Linked DNA regions of Saccharomyces cerevisiae S288C. The main gene of each other region encodes a partner of the protein of the gene in region 2 in a complex. Each region holds a gene or a part of one and is shown on either strand. Other genes may lie near its edges. A codon is read from its position in the direction of its gene.

Region 1 (5,569 bases), on a different chromosome or scaffold from region 2:
GACTTTATCAAATCATTAATTTCTGTGCATAAAGTGTATAGTATATTCATATAGATATGTATATATATCATTGAATACAGAAATCTTCGGGTGTATACAACGAACATTCATCGGACGCCTTTTTTACTGCTATTGTTCAACAAAGTGGGTAACCCGGCATTCTTGCGCCAAAGTTTCCATTTTTATGCCAAATCCAGAGGATAAAAGCACTATTCTCATCAAAAGATGGAAAAGCTGTGAAAGAGTCAAGTTCAGAAGAAAGCGTTAAGAAAAATAGAGTACACGGGAGCGTTATGTCAGCCGATCATTCGAGAGATCCATGTCCTATAGTCATACTAAATGATTTCGGTGGTGCTTTTGCCATGGGTGCCATTGGTGGTGTTGTTTGGCATGGGATTAAAGGTTTTAGAAATTCGCCATTAGGTGAGCGTGGTTCAGGAGCTATGAGCGCCATTAAAGCGCGTGCTCCCGTACTGGGTGGTAATTTTGGTGTGTGGGGTGGTTTATTTTCGACTTTTGATTGCGCTGTGAAGGCCGTTAGAAAGAGAGAGGACCCATGGAATGCTATCATTGCAGGGTTTTTCACTGGTGGCGCTTTAGCTGTAAGAGGTGGTTGGAGGCATACAAGGAACAGTTCGATCACGTGTGCTTGTTTGTTGGGTGTGATTGAAGGTGTGGGACTAATGTTTCAAAGATATGCTGCTTGGCAAGCCAAACCTATGGCTCCTCCTTTGCCCGAAGCACCTTCCTCTCAACCTCTGCAAGCTTAGGCATGTAGACATTATATGAGCCATTTTTTCATCGTTGTTGGAAGTACCCTTATTCGGCATGTTTTTTGTTACATAAATGACGTATCGCACTAGCCTCCTTTACGTTTTTACTTTATTTCAGCCTTTTATTTCAAGATTACCAACCATTTCTCTCAACCATGTACATATTATATATTGAAAAAGTACCATACTTCATCTCTGAAGAGAAAATATCAACAAGCCAAAAGCTAGTGCAGAAACTTTATAATGTTACTTTATTAATTGTAATGACTATACGTATAAGGAAAATTAAGAAAAGGCAAAATTCATATTTATTTAGTATATCATTATGGCACCAAGCCGTAATAAAATGAAATGGGTAGTTAAGAAAAGTCAGACAAAATAACGATTTATTCTTCGACAATGTGAAGTTTATTGAACGCGCTTGTTGGCCCTTCTTGAACAGAATGAGTAACAGCAAAATTATTGGAGATGTCGCCAGATGTATTCTCCTTCCTTTTACTGATAGCACCAATGTCGACGCTATCAGCACCACCAGTGGCAGAGCTAGGATTATAGACATAGTTGTGGCCTGCATTGTTACTAGAGTCGTTCGCACTTCCATATTCACTTTGCTGGCCTTTTGCATCGTCATGTTTTTCTGAAGGACCCGGTAAAGACGATCCTGGAGGAAACCACTCACCTGTAAACTCCTGCTTTGTTATGAAGGGGTGTAGCATAGCTTGTTGTGGTGTCCATCTTTCTAACGGGTTCAAATTTAGCACACCGCCTAAAAAGTGGATCAAACACTCCCTATTCTGCATTTCTTGGTCGATAAGTTCTTGGGAGTTCTGTATGCTTTTAGGATACCTGTAGTTTCTAATAATATCTGGTAACTTTCTCCACTTAAAATATTGTTTACTGGGCTTTTCCACTATATTGTATTCTCTGCAAAACTCTTCAATAGTTTTCATACGATGCTTTTGTGTAGAAGAAGAACTTTCTTCTGGTGCCAATTTCTTCATAAATTTTCCAGAGTTTTTACCCATATCTATCATCCACGATGGAGGATATCCAAGCGTGTCTATTATTCTTGTTAATTGGTTATATTCAGAAGCGCCTGGGAAGATCGGTATACCCAAAAATAATTCAGCAACAATACAACCTAACGACCACATGTCAATACTGGTTGAATACGGTATACCCAGTATAATTTCAGGAGCACGATAAAACCTGGACTGGATGTATGTATAAACGGTTCTTGCCTCTTCGCAAGATGAGCCAAAATCAATAATTTTCAATTCCGGCTTATCAGGTGCGCAGAGCAAGATATTCTCTGGCTTCAGATCGCAATGAATCAGTTTGCTTTCCTTCAAAACGCATAACGAATCCAGTATTTGAGTGGTGAATGTTCTGATAAGTTGTATAGAGAGCCCATGAAATTTGTTTTGTTTTAATAATTCGTACAAATTATTGCTTAGTAATTCAAACACTAAACATAAGTGGTTCTTGTGGACAAAGGAGTCATACATCCTTAAAAAATGATGTTTATTAGTAGGGTCTATCTTTTGATTCAGTAGCTCTAAAATTTTAGCCTCCGTTATACTTTGAGTCAAATATTCTGTCCTCGATTTAACCACTTTTACAGCCAATATCTCTTTCGTCAGCAAATTTTGACATTTGACCACTTGACCAAATGTACCTTGACCCAAAATGTCTAGCACAAGGTACTTTCTGTTCTGCTCTACACCCAAAACGTCATTTACATAAAGAATATAGTCACTGTTTATGTTGTCGAATCCGTTGTTACATTTCCCTTCACTGGGCTTCGTAAGTACTCTCTTGGGGTTTTTGGACGTTTGGTAGGTAAATTCTGGAGAACATAAAGAATATGTGGTAATCAGGCTTTTCGTGACACTGACTAGGGGAGATATCGTCTTGGAATTGAGCGACGCACGTCTAAACTTTGGAGTAGCATTTAAGACAGGTTGAAGATCGTTTTTAGAGTTGCAAAGTTGCATCTGAGGAATGGACAATTTCTGACCTTGTACTTCATCTCTTCGTAACTGCTTGAAAGGGGGTTGTAGTGGGGGACTTGTACTAGGAGGATATGCGCTAAGCCTCCTGTAAGGTGACATGACTGGTATGGAGTTTGTTCCTTGATTAGTATTTGAATTTAGGGAAGAAAAATTGGACGAATAATTAGTTGCAGCCAGACTCTGCCTTCTTTGGAAATCTTGACGATCATAAAGGGAGGGAACAAATCTGGATCCAAATTGGGAAGGATGGATAGCGCCCTGCTGGTATACTTGCTGTTGTTGTTGTTGATAGCCAGAAGGATACTGGCCACTGCTATTTCCTGCCAAACTCGTATTAGAGCTGGTGTAAGCGGGATAACTATCGTACTGGAAAGGATTTGGGGCAGGTGCCCTGGCTGGAGGTACAACGAGACTAGATTTACGTCGTCTGTACGCATCTAGACTTTCGTTACTGTTTAAGTCATCGTATTGAGGGGGATACACCAGGTTTTGTTGAGAATTAGTTACTTTTTCCTCATTCCAAGGGTTAACAAAGCAAAATTGAGAATTCTGTTGTTGTTGTTGTTGCTGCTGCTGCTGCTGCTGGTGATGATTCTGATGCTGCTGCTGTGGAGACCTTTGAGAGCCTTGATTTACGTACGATGGATTCCATATACCTCTCCCCATATGGCTATTGTCTGGGCTTGCTCTACCCGAGCCCATACTAGCATCACTGTGGGTCACAAGGGTCGGGCTCAAGGAGTTATTCATGTTGCTATTGGAGCTGGACGAGTCGTTATTATTGGATGAGTTCATGATTGCTCAAATTAGCATGTGAAAAAAAGATAACGAAATTATGTTCCCTTGCACAATGGCTGTTGCTCTTCACCAAAATTCTTCTTTCGATATATTCCCAAATCTAATAGTGAGAAATTTGTGTAATACCCCCAGTAATGGCCCACCAATTGTTTCCTTATATCTGTTTAGCATTGCGACTCATTCATTGTTCAGCCCAGAAGGGGTAAATCTGAGGAGGGGGCATTGCTTGCAATGGTTCAGAAGGGGCGGTTAGGGTTAATAAAGCCATCGCGCTATTTTGATATTTTTATTAGGCCTTTTATATTTTTTTTAGTTTTTTTCTCCAAATCCTAAATCCTTTTTAGGTGTCATTTACGTGCAACGCGACAATAGTGATATTGTCATTCTTCAAACTTTTTGCAAGGTAGCTATTAAACATACCTACACACATACGTACATGCTTAACGGTGAGACAAAAGTAAAGAAAGAGACTTGAATGGGTTGCTGCATCTTAATAAGTTGAGTTTGAGGGCGAAAGTACACAAATATTCATCCGTATTGAAAATATATATATAAGAATATAGAAAAATGAATGTTTCTACATCAACCTTTCAAACAAGACGGAGAAGATTGAAGAAAGTGGAGGAAGAAGAAAATGCAGCTACTCTACAACTGGGCCAGGAATTCCAGCTGAAACAGATAAATCATCAGGGTGAAGAGGAGGAATTGATTGCCTTGAACCTAAGTGAAGCCAGGTTAGTAATCAAAGAAGCTCTTGTAGAACGTAGGAGAGCATTTAAAAGATCGCAAAAAAAACACAAGAAGAAGCATTTGAAGCACGAAAACGCCAATGATGAAACTACGGCAGTAGAGGATGAAGATGATGATCTGGATGAAGATGACGTCAACGCTGATGATGATGATTTTATGCATTCTGAAACTAGGGAGAAGGAGTTGGAGTCTATCGACGTTCTGTTAGAACAGACAACGGGAGGAAATAATAAAGATTTGAAAAATACCATGCAGTATTTAACAAATTTCTCCCGATTTAGAGACCAAGAAACCGTCGGGGCAGTTATACAGCTTCTGAAAAGCACTGGGTTACATCCTTTTGAAGTGGCGCAACTAGGTTCTTTGGCCTGTGACACAGCTGATGAAGCAAAGACTTTAATTCCAAGCTTAAACAATAAAATATCAGACGATGAGTTGGAAAGGATACTAAAGGAATTGTCAAACCTAGAAACACTCTATTAATAACTGTATGTATACGTGTGTGTAACTAGTAATGAATTTTCACCCTGTGGAAGTTAGGCCTATTTAACAGGAAAAAGGACAGGATTTTAAATCTCGTCTTGCTCTTCTTTTAAGAAATATTTGCCGCTACCGTTTTTCCACCATCTCATCAAACAACTATGTGGGGTTATATCTATGACACTTTCATCATCGCTTTTGCATCTACACCTCTGATCGAGCCTAACAGCGTAAGATGCTGGACAGGTGCCAAACGGTGAGTGAAAATAGCCAAGTTCGTCAAAATGAATGATTTCGTCAGGTCTCAGCAGTAGGGAGACACCAATTGAATGTACAGGTGCGTCACCCCACCTTTCGTAGTAAAATCCGCCCTTGGCATCTAAAGTTTCAAAAAAATGCTTATATTCGTCACTTCTGAAGAAATTCAAGTCGCCAATCTCAAAATTCGACCAAAAATGGCACAAATTGTAGTCAGAGTTTGCTTCAACAACGGGATAATGCTTACCAACTAGCCCTGAATCGGTCAAAAATGCATAGGCACTGTCCTCTTTACGTAAAATGGTCTCTTCGCTGGCCACTAAATACTCCTCTACCGCGTCCCATAAGGTTGGTATGGTTTCTTCATATTCATATAATGATATGACAAATCCGTATTTTTTGCCCTTCAATCTCATAACTCTGAACGGGTCATATGGGAAATCGCAATAATACTTGACATTGGGTTCCACCCTAAAGTAGTAATCATAGTTGTCC
Region 2 (7,241 bases):
TCCTTCAAGAAGTCATCACCCAACACATAGTCGTTACCTGGATAAGCACCAACTGCGGAACAGACGCGTTGAGTACCTGTGATGTTCTGATAAGCAGGGCCAGCAGGGATGTATTGGGCACAAGGGAATCTACGGTCATGGAATTCATTGATCATTAAAGATTCAAACAGGTAGGCTAGCGGGTTGATATACCAAATCCAAATGGACCAACCTAAAATCTTCGTTTTAGGGATGGCAAACCCTGTATACATAGAAATTGCCAATAATAACATTGAAGCGGGGACCATGGCCTCCTGTAATGTTTTGGTCAAGGAGCCCACGCATCTAAATAAATGGGATAAAGTGAATGTGGCAATGACATTAATTAAAAAATAAAAGAAAAAGACACCACCGTTTCTCCTGAAATCAACTAGGAAATAAAAGATGATGTTGAAGCAGACAGCAGTGATCAATTTTGGCGGCATTTCTGACAAAACAGACGCAAATGCGTCAGCGCTTGGATGATACAAGGAATAAGTTCTGTGTTTTTCAGTTATAGGTCTTGTTTCATACAAACTAAAGATTTCCAAAAGACACGAAAATGCATTAAATAAAATAGCAAAAAACATTGCAGCACCACGGAAATAGAAAGTGGAAGTATCGTTTTTCTTCATCACTTTATAAAACATAGAACCCAAGATGAAAGCCATGACAGAGTTACCGATGACTTGCCACAAAGTAACACTAGCACTTTGCTTCATTCTCCAGAAATTTCTAATCAACAAGTATTTGACTTGCATTCCGTAGTTGACAACGTATGGAGAGGAAGGTGGTGCCCTTTTTGCCTGTTTAGCGTGGTGAGCATCCCTGATAATATTGCGTGCTTCATCTGTGTTTTTCTCTAATGTAGAGTCTATATCCTTGATTAAATTTTTGTAGCTTTCTGATTGTAGCCAATATTCGGCCATATCCTTTGGCGTTTGAGGCACTCTAGTACCTTTTTCGATAAATTCTTTGCTAATAATTCTTTCAGTAGGACTTGTAATTGAAGTTAAAAAATCTGCAGTGGTCTGTCTGGGAGGACAATAGTAGCCCATGTCTTGGAAATATTTCTTTGCATCCTTAGCGGGCCCAAAATAAAGCTGGTAACCATCATCCAGGACACAGACCTTATCAAAAAGATCATAAGCATCCTGAGAACATTGATAGATGGCCACAGTAGCCGCGGTCTTTCCAATGTCAGCCTGGGTTTTTAAAGCACGGATGAATTCTAAAGCAGTAGCAGAGTCCAAACCTCTGGTGGCATTATCCCAACATTGAAATCTGGCGCCGCAGATTGCGACTTCCGCAATGGATACACGCTTTCTTTCACCACCAGAAACACCTCTGACTAGATCGTTTCCGACCTTGGTGTCCCTTGTATGCGAAAGACCATATGTGGCCATTGCAACTTCTGTCACGTGATTGGCGTACGCTTCTCTATCAACACCCTTGATACGATTTTGCGGCGTTTTCATCCTTGCCACGGTGAAAAGCGTCTGGTACACGGTAAGATGCGGTAAATGAATATCTGATTCCGCATTGTAAACGACTTCACCACGGTAATGTTTCCTGATATCCGAGCTTGACAAACCGTTGTAAGAGACAATGGAGTCTTTTGCGATCTTGAACCCGTGCGAATTAGAAGATATGGATTTTAGCAGCGTAGTACAACCTGACCCTGGTCTCCCAAGAACAACCAACAGTTCACCGGGATTAAGACAACCATCCATGGGTTTCAGGATCTGAAAAGTGTCCTCTTCTTTACTGGGCTTCAGTAATCTGAGCCCTTTCGTAAGCAGCTTTGGTACGATGTTAGCGAAAGTTGACTGGTATGACACATCGGCGGAGTCTCCGGAGGCGCTTAGATTCTTCCATACACAACCGAGTGAGTATGGTTTATAGAAATCCGGGTCCGAAGTACAAATATTTGCCATGTTCTGTACCCACGCCGTACTGGAGAATTGATCACTGTTAGGGTCCAATTTGGGATTGTATCCCGGGGTGTCCGGGTTAGTGAACACCGGGTTCACACCTTCCATGTCCGTAGAAAATACGGATCTCGAGTCCGCATTGTGCGCATTATGGTTGCTGGAAGAGCTATTGTTTGAGTTAGCAGTGTATAGTAAACTCTGCGATGTGAGTGTTCTAGCCAACTCATGCACCCTTTCCGCGGCTTCGCTGTCGAAACCGCGGTATGGATGCTGTCCAATGGATTGGGCGGCAGAGTTCGAGCTCGAGCTTGAGCTCGAGCTCCGCGAATTTCGTTCCTCTACGTCTCTGATATCTGATGACATAGGTTTTTGATAATTATAAGTGTGTTTGCTTGTGTGTGTGTGTGTTTATATATTCGTATAGTAACTGTTATACGCTAATAGTATTAGTGATGTGATGTTCTTAACAGTAGTATACTTGAATACTGCATATGACGTATCTACAACAAGACTAGCAAATCTCTTTACAGCAACATAAGAAGGCAATTTGGTCCAGGTAGAGAGCTCCTGCTTATATATTCCTCAGATGTACATGCTCCCTTTCCGATCCCTACTACCAAAGTCTCGCACAGCAGTAGCAGTATTCTTTTCCCTCATCGTCTTACCATCGTGCCATACCTTAACCCCGGCACCGTGCGTTGCAGATCCGCCCCTCGCGGACCCGCTCGAGACTCTCCGCGGAACGAGCATGCGGACGGCTCCGCGCCACTGTCTCCGCAGGCATCCGTGCATGGCATCCCGCGGAAGCGACCCTGAAAATAATAAGTAAAGCAACCAATGTTCTTGCTCTTTGCGCGAACAAAAATAAAAAAAGAACAGAAATACAGGCCACCTTCCAGGGCAGGGGAAGGGGATGCCATCATCATTCTTTTCTTCCGTAAGGCATGTTCTACAGCCACTTCATATATTTTTGCGTTTGTTGCTCGGAAAAAGTAATGTTCTTAATTTTCTTTCTTTTTTTTTTTTTCTGTTTAGAGATTATGTAGTTTGCTCCGTATATACAAGTGTGAGGGGTGCAAGATGCTTATCTGGGTATTTGCGTGTGGGTTAACGAAGGGGTGGAATGGGAAACCTTCTAATGTAGATCTTCTATGTACCTGTTCAGGGCAATTAGTTTATCTGCGCGCTGCAGTTCGGCGGCGTGACGCTCTCGCTTATTGTCTATCTCTCGTTTTAAGAAGCGAGGTATAAAAGGCTGGGCCACCCGTTCGTAAGGCCCCACGACTCCGTCGAATGCTGTGCCGGGTTTGTTGGCGTCTGAGCCCAAGCAGTTAAGTCTTTCTTCACGGTACTTTTCCATGTTGTCAGGCGTGGTGCTGTCCCAGAAGGAGTTTTCGTCCGGACGGGGTTCTTCGGGCCAAATGAAGGGTTCTTCCATCTCGATAGTCATTTTCTTGATCTGCGGTTCTCTAAACCGCGTCGTCTGTAGGTTCATACGGTTAAACTTCCCATGAAGCAGCTGCGTCGTAATGTTCATTGCTCTTAAGCCGTAGATATGATAAAGATAGTCTCTGAGATCCAGTTTGTTGAACGATTTTGGGACGATGAATTTTGCTTGATACGGTGTGTGCTTCGCGTTGGGCCTCAAGAGGATGATCCTGGCCTTGGGAAAGTAGACTTTGTTACCTCCAACTTTGAAATGCTCCTTTCCCTGCTCTATGCCCGCCTTTGTCCACTTATAAATCTTCTCGCTTACGTTTATATCTACTTCGCGATCGCTGCCGCTTTTGTCGAGTATTTTGGAGGAACTCTCCACCACTGAGGCTAGTGATCTTATTGGAACCTGCTCTGGCTTGCAACTTCCTACTGCAAGTGTTTTTTGCAAAGGATACAACATATTCTTCGTTCCAACCGTCAATCGTGGCATATTCTGTGTTGGTGTTGCGTACTTTTTATTTTTATTTTATTTTTTTTTCTGTTGGAGCCTGCTAATCAAAGCACATTATTTGTTAGTAGCGTTACGTTCTCCACAAGAAATGTATGTACATTTCAAGTTCTAATACCATCGTTTTCCCTTTTTCATCGAGAAAATTCGTATAACGCGATTACGTATTAAGTGATCTTCTGTGGGTTTCAACGGCTATTTTGAAAAATACAAGGAAAATAAATGCGGTATTCCTATATCCCAGTGAAAATGCCAATAACGTAGACAAGCTCACTTCGTCGATTTATTCTCTAACATTGGGTCGATCAGGTCTGTCCACCTATCTCTTCTCCCAGAATATCATAGCCTTTCTTTTTCCGTTTCTCCTCCTACACCATTCTCCTTTGCGATTAGACAGTGGGAAAGTCCAAGAATAGATTCACATTTCAACCACTGTATAAATAACTCAATTTCTGAGAATGTTTTTTATTAAAGACCTTTCGCTTAATATTACCCTTCATCCGTCCTTTTTCGGTCCTCGAATGAAGCAATATCTAAAGACAAAACTATTGGAAGAGGTTGAAGGTTCGTGTACGGGTAAATTCGGATATATTCTTTGTGTCCTAGACTATGATAATATAGATATTCAACGTGGGAGAATATTGCCCACAGATGGGTCCGCCGAGTTCAACGTGAAATATAGAGCTGTAGTTTTCAAACCATTTAAAGGGGAAGTAGTGGACGGCACAGTCGTTTCATGTTCTCAGCACGGGTTCGAAGTGCAAGTAGGTCCAATGAAAGTATTTGTGACAAAGCATCTGATGCCTCAAGATTTAACCTTTAATGCGGGTTCAAACCCACCATCATACCAAAGTTCCGAGGATGTCATCACCATAAAAAGTAGAATTAGAGTTAAAATTGAAGGTTGTATCAGTCAAGTGAGTTCTATTCACGCAATCGGTAGTATCAAAGAAGATTATTTGGGTGCTATTTAATCACTTGTTACTCCGCAACGCTTTTCTGAACGCCCGCCTTCGCCTTTCATTATCATTCTCATCCCAAAAGAACTGTGCATGTTATTTGCAATACTTCATATACGCTCTGTATTATTAATAGTATCATTAATTACGTCAATTGAAATTCAAAATATCATCTTTGACAGTAACATCTATCCTCTTAGACAACTAGGGCCATTGCAGTGTCTCGAAACCATTAATATCACTGAAAAGATGAAAAGAAAGGCAAATATATATTGATCACTAATTTTCTAAGCTAAAGAATCTATTCCCCCTCTGTTAAATGGAATTGTGTGAAATAAAATATTATAAAATCAGAACTTTGGGGGGGAAACATAAAAAAATGAGAAAAAGAAAACGAACTAACTAATGTTTAAGTAAAAGAACAAAAAGGTAGACCAATGTAGCGCTCTTACTTTATTAAGAGATTTTCTTGATAACGAAATGTCCTCCTTCTCCAATATCGAAACGAGTATCTTTCCATACACCATCATACATACCCTTTTCGAGAGCCTCCTTGACTACTTTTGATTTTGTCAAAAAGTATTTCTCCTTTTCATCCTCAACCTTCACGACACAATTATGCCAAGGTGTGGGAATATGTAAAAAATCTTCAAATTTGGGTTCATCAAGGTCTTCTAACGAACTAACAATAGAACACTGTTCGTTGGAGATTACTTTTATACCAAATTTGGGCCCGCTGTTAGTGTGCGCATGAATAGAAATTCTCAAATGATGAGGGAATATCAATTCCACTAAGTTCGAATACGCGTCATTTCTCTTAATCATGTTAAAAGCGATCATTGAAATGATTTTCTTGAATTTTTTTCTGGAATAACTTTGGAAATGTTCCAGTAGAGATAAATCTTCCATCATAAAACGTGAAAAGCCCCTATACAGATGCAATCTTGGATGTCCTTCTATTGCAATCTGCTTTCTCAAACGACCTGCATCTGTATCACAGCCTTTCATCAAAATCTGTCTCGACAAATCGGACTTAGGACAGATTTGAGTTCCTGTGTAGTGTGCAACTTCAACATCACTAACCCACTTTGGATCGAAAACTTTACTAGCTGCACCGCTAAAAAATAAATCGTTCAATCCACAAAAGCCAATGGCGTCAACACCAGGTATAGCCACTCTTTTATACAGTTCGTGCAATTTGGTCGTGTAAGTACTCACGACGTCATCATCGACCCCAATACAATCGGAGAAAACATGGCCATCACTAACTATCCAAATTTTCATACCCGGTGGATATATCTTGACAAGGTCTTGTGTGGCTTTTATTAATCTTTTCAAAGCGAGTTCTTCGCCTTTGTCAGGAACGGAACCGTACACTTTTTGCTCATTAGATGACTTACATGGAAACGCTGGCAAGATGCATTCAATTCTCAAATATCGATCGGTAAAATATCTTGAACGTTCAATAAAATAATCACGGCCACCAAAATTCCATTGATCATTAACTATTGTGTTTTTCAAATTTTTCTCAAAAAAATCTGCAAATAATTCGTGATACTTAACTTCTTTGGTTACAATTGGATGTTCACTTAGAGATAATTGAGATTGGTCTAAAATATGATATACGAACCAGTTATTGAAAGAATTTTCATTCTCAACTGTTGTAACACACCCACGAATCTGGCGTTCGTCATCGCGTGTATATTCAGAAATCTTTATTGCCACTCCTAAATTATTGGTAAATTTATTTGCTAAAGAAGCTGGCAAAATTCTTTCAGAAACCCGTCCACTTACTTCGGATTCAGAAAAGTCCAGATTGTGAATAGTGTTGATAAAGTCGAGCCATTGGTCTCCAAATTTACAATTCTGTTTTTCCTCTAAAGAGTAAAAATCGTCACATTTGTCGCTTCTGCAATACAGGGCCAGAAATTTACTATATGTAGACAAATCGGCCCCATTATGGGGAATATCAATATCTTTCAACGTATCAGTCGATGAAGAAAATGAAGAGGCAGGTGGTGATATTGACTGCTCGGAGCTTGAGGGCAAGTTGCTAGTAAATGTCATTTTTGTTAATGTCTCGACAAAGCTTTACCGAATTAGGATATTAACAAATTGTTTATTTAGTCAAGACTTTGCGGAGGAGCACAATTTATGTGAAAATTTATTTCAATATTTATACATCATTTTTGATTCTGAACCTATTTTCAGAAATTGTTTTACAACATCGTAGGGCAGGCACTATGCCCTTGCAAATTTTATGATATACTGTCCACTGAAAGCAATGCAATCAAAATTCAAATAAACTCCTGAGGGGCCAATAATATAAGGATTTTTAGCACGCGACGTCTGGGATTGAGTGCCATGTATGTAAAGACGAGCAAT

What was found.
Region 1: the proteins of RPB7 (region 2) and RPB4 are in contact, whole or in part, in a crystal structure (PDB 5IP7), measured with the Saccharomyces cerevisiae proteins. Residues at the interface, in NP_010692.3 of Saccharomyces cerevisiae: Met1 (codon at 4,356), Phe2 (codon at 4,359), Phe3 (codon at 4,362), Ile4 (codon at 4,365), Lys5 (codon at 4,368), Asp6 (codon at 4,371), Leu7 (codon at 4,374), Ser8 (codon at 4,377), Leu9 (codon at 4,380), Asn10 (codon at 4,383), Arg21 (codon at 4,416), Gln24 (codon at 4,425), Leu31 (codon at 4,446), Glu33 (codon at 4,452), Val34 (codon at 4,455), Glu35 (codon at 4,458), Gly36 (codon at 4,461), Ser37 (codon at 4,464), Thr39 (codon at 4,470), Lys41 (codon at 4,476), Phe42 (codon at 4,479), Tyr44 (codon at 4,485), Leu46 (codon at 4,491), Cys47 (codon at 4,494), Val48 (codon at 4,497), Leu49 (codon at 4,500), Tyr51 (codon at 4,506), Asp52 (codon at 4,509), Lys73 (codon at 4,572), Tyr74 (codon at 4,575); in NP_012395.1 of Saccharomyces cerevisiae: Val3 (codon at 4,160), Ser4 (codon at 4,163), Thr5 (codon at 4,166), Ser6 (codon at 4,169), Thr7 (codon at 4,172), Phe8 (codon at 4,175), Gln9 (codon at 4,178), Glu22 (codon at 4,217), Asn23 (codon at 4,220), Ala24 (codon at 4,223), Ala25 (codon at 4,226), Leu29 (codon at 4,238), Gly30 (codon at 4,241), Glu32 (codon at 4,247), Phe33 (codon at 4,250), Gln37 (codon at 4,262), Ile38 (codon at 4,265), Asn39 (codon at 4,268), His40 (codon at 4,271), Glu45 (codon at 4,286), Leu47 (codon at 4,292), Ile48 (codon at 4,295), Ala49 (codon at 4,298), Leu50 (codon at 4,301), Leu52 (codon at 4,307), Ala55 (codon at 4,316), Val58 (codon at 4,325), Ile59 (codon at 4,328), Ala62 (codon at 4,337), Leu63 (codon at 4,340).

What each region holds. Positions count from the first base shown.
Region 1 is NC_001142.9:146,808-152,376, forward strand, and holds RPB4 (DNA-directed RNA polymerase II subunit RPB4), read left to right. Parts: upstream 1-4,153; coding exon 4,154-4,819; downstream 4,820-5,569. Other genes in the region: protein transporter TIM17, read left to right, coding at 294-770; IRC9 (Irc9p), read right to left, coding at 1,012-1,404; serine/threonine protein kinase YAK1, read right to left, coding at 1,160-3,583; mannosyltransferase YUR1, read right to left, coding at 4,906-5,569. UniProt on the Saccharomyces cerevisiae protein: DNA-dependent RNA polymerase catalyzes the transcription of DNA into RNA using the four ribonucleoside triphosphates as substrates. Component of RNA polymerase II which synthesizes mRNA precursors and many functional non-coding RNAs.
Region 2 is NC_001136.10:1,274,284-1,281,524, reverse strand, and holds RPB7 (DNA-directed RNA polymerase II subunit RPB7), read left to right. Parts: upstream 1-4,355; coding exon 4,356-4,871; downstream 4,872-7,241. Other genes in the region: ATP-binding cassette multidrug transporter PDR15, read right to left, coding at 1-2,315; mitochondrial 54S ribosomal protein uL23m MRP20, read right to left, coding at 3,088-3,879; DIT1 (Dit1p), read right to left, coding at 5,313-6,923. UniProt on the Saccharomyces cerevisiae protein: DNA-dependent RNA polymerase catalyzes the transcription of DNA into RNA using the four ribonucleoside triphosphates as substrates. Component of RNA polymerase II which synthesizes mRNA precursors and many functional non-coding RNAs.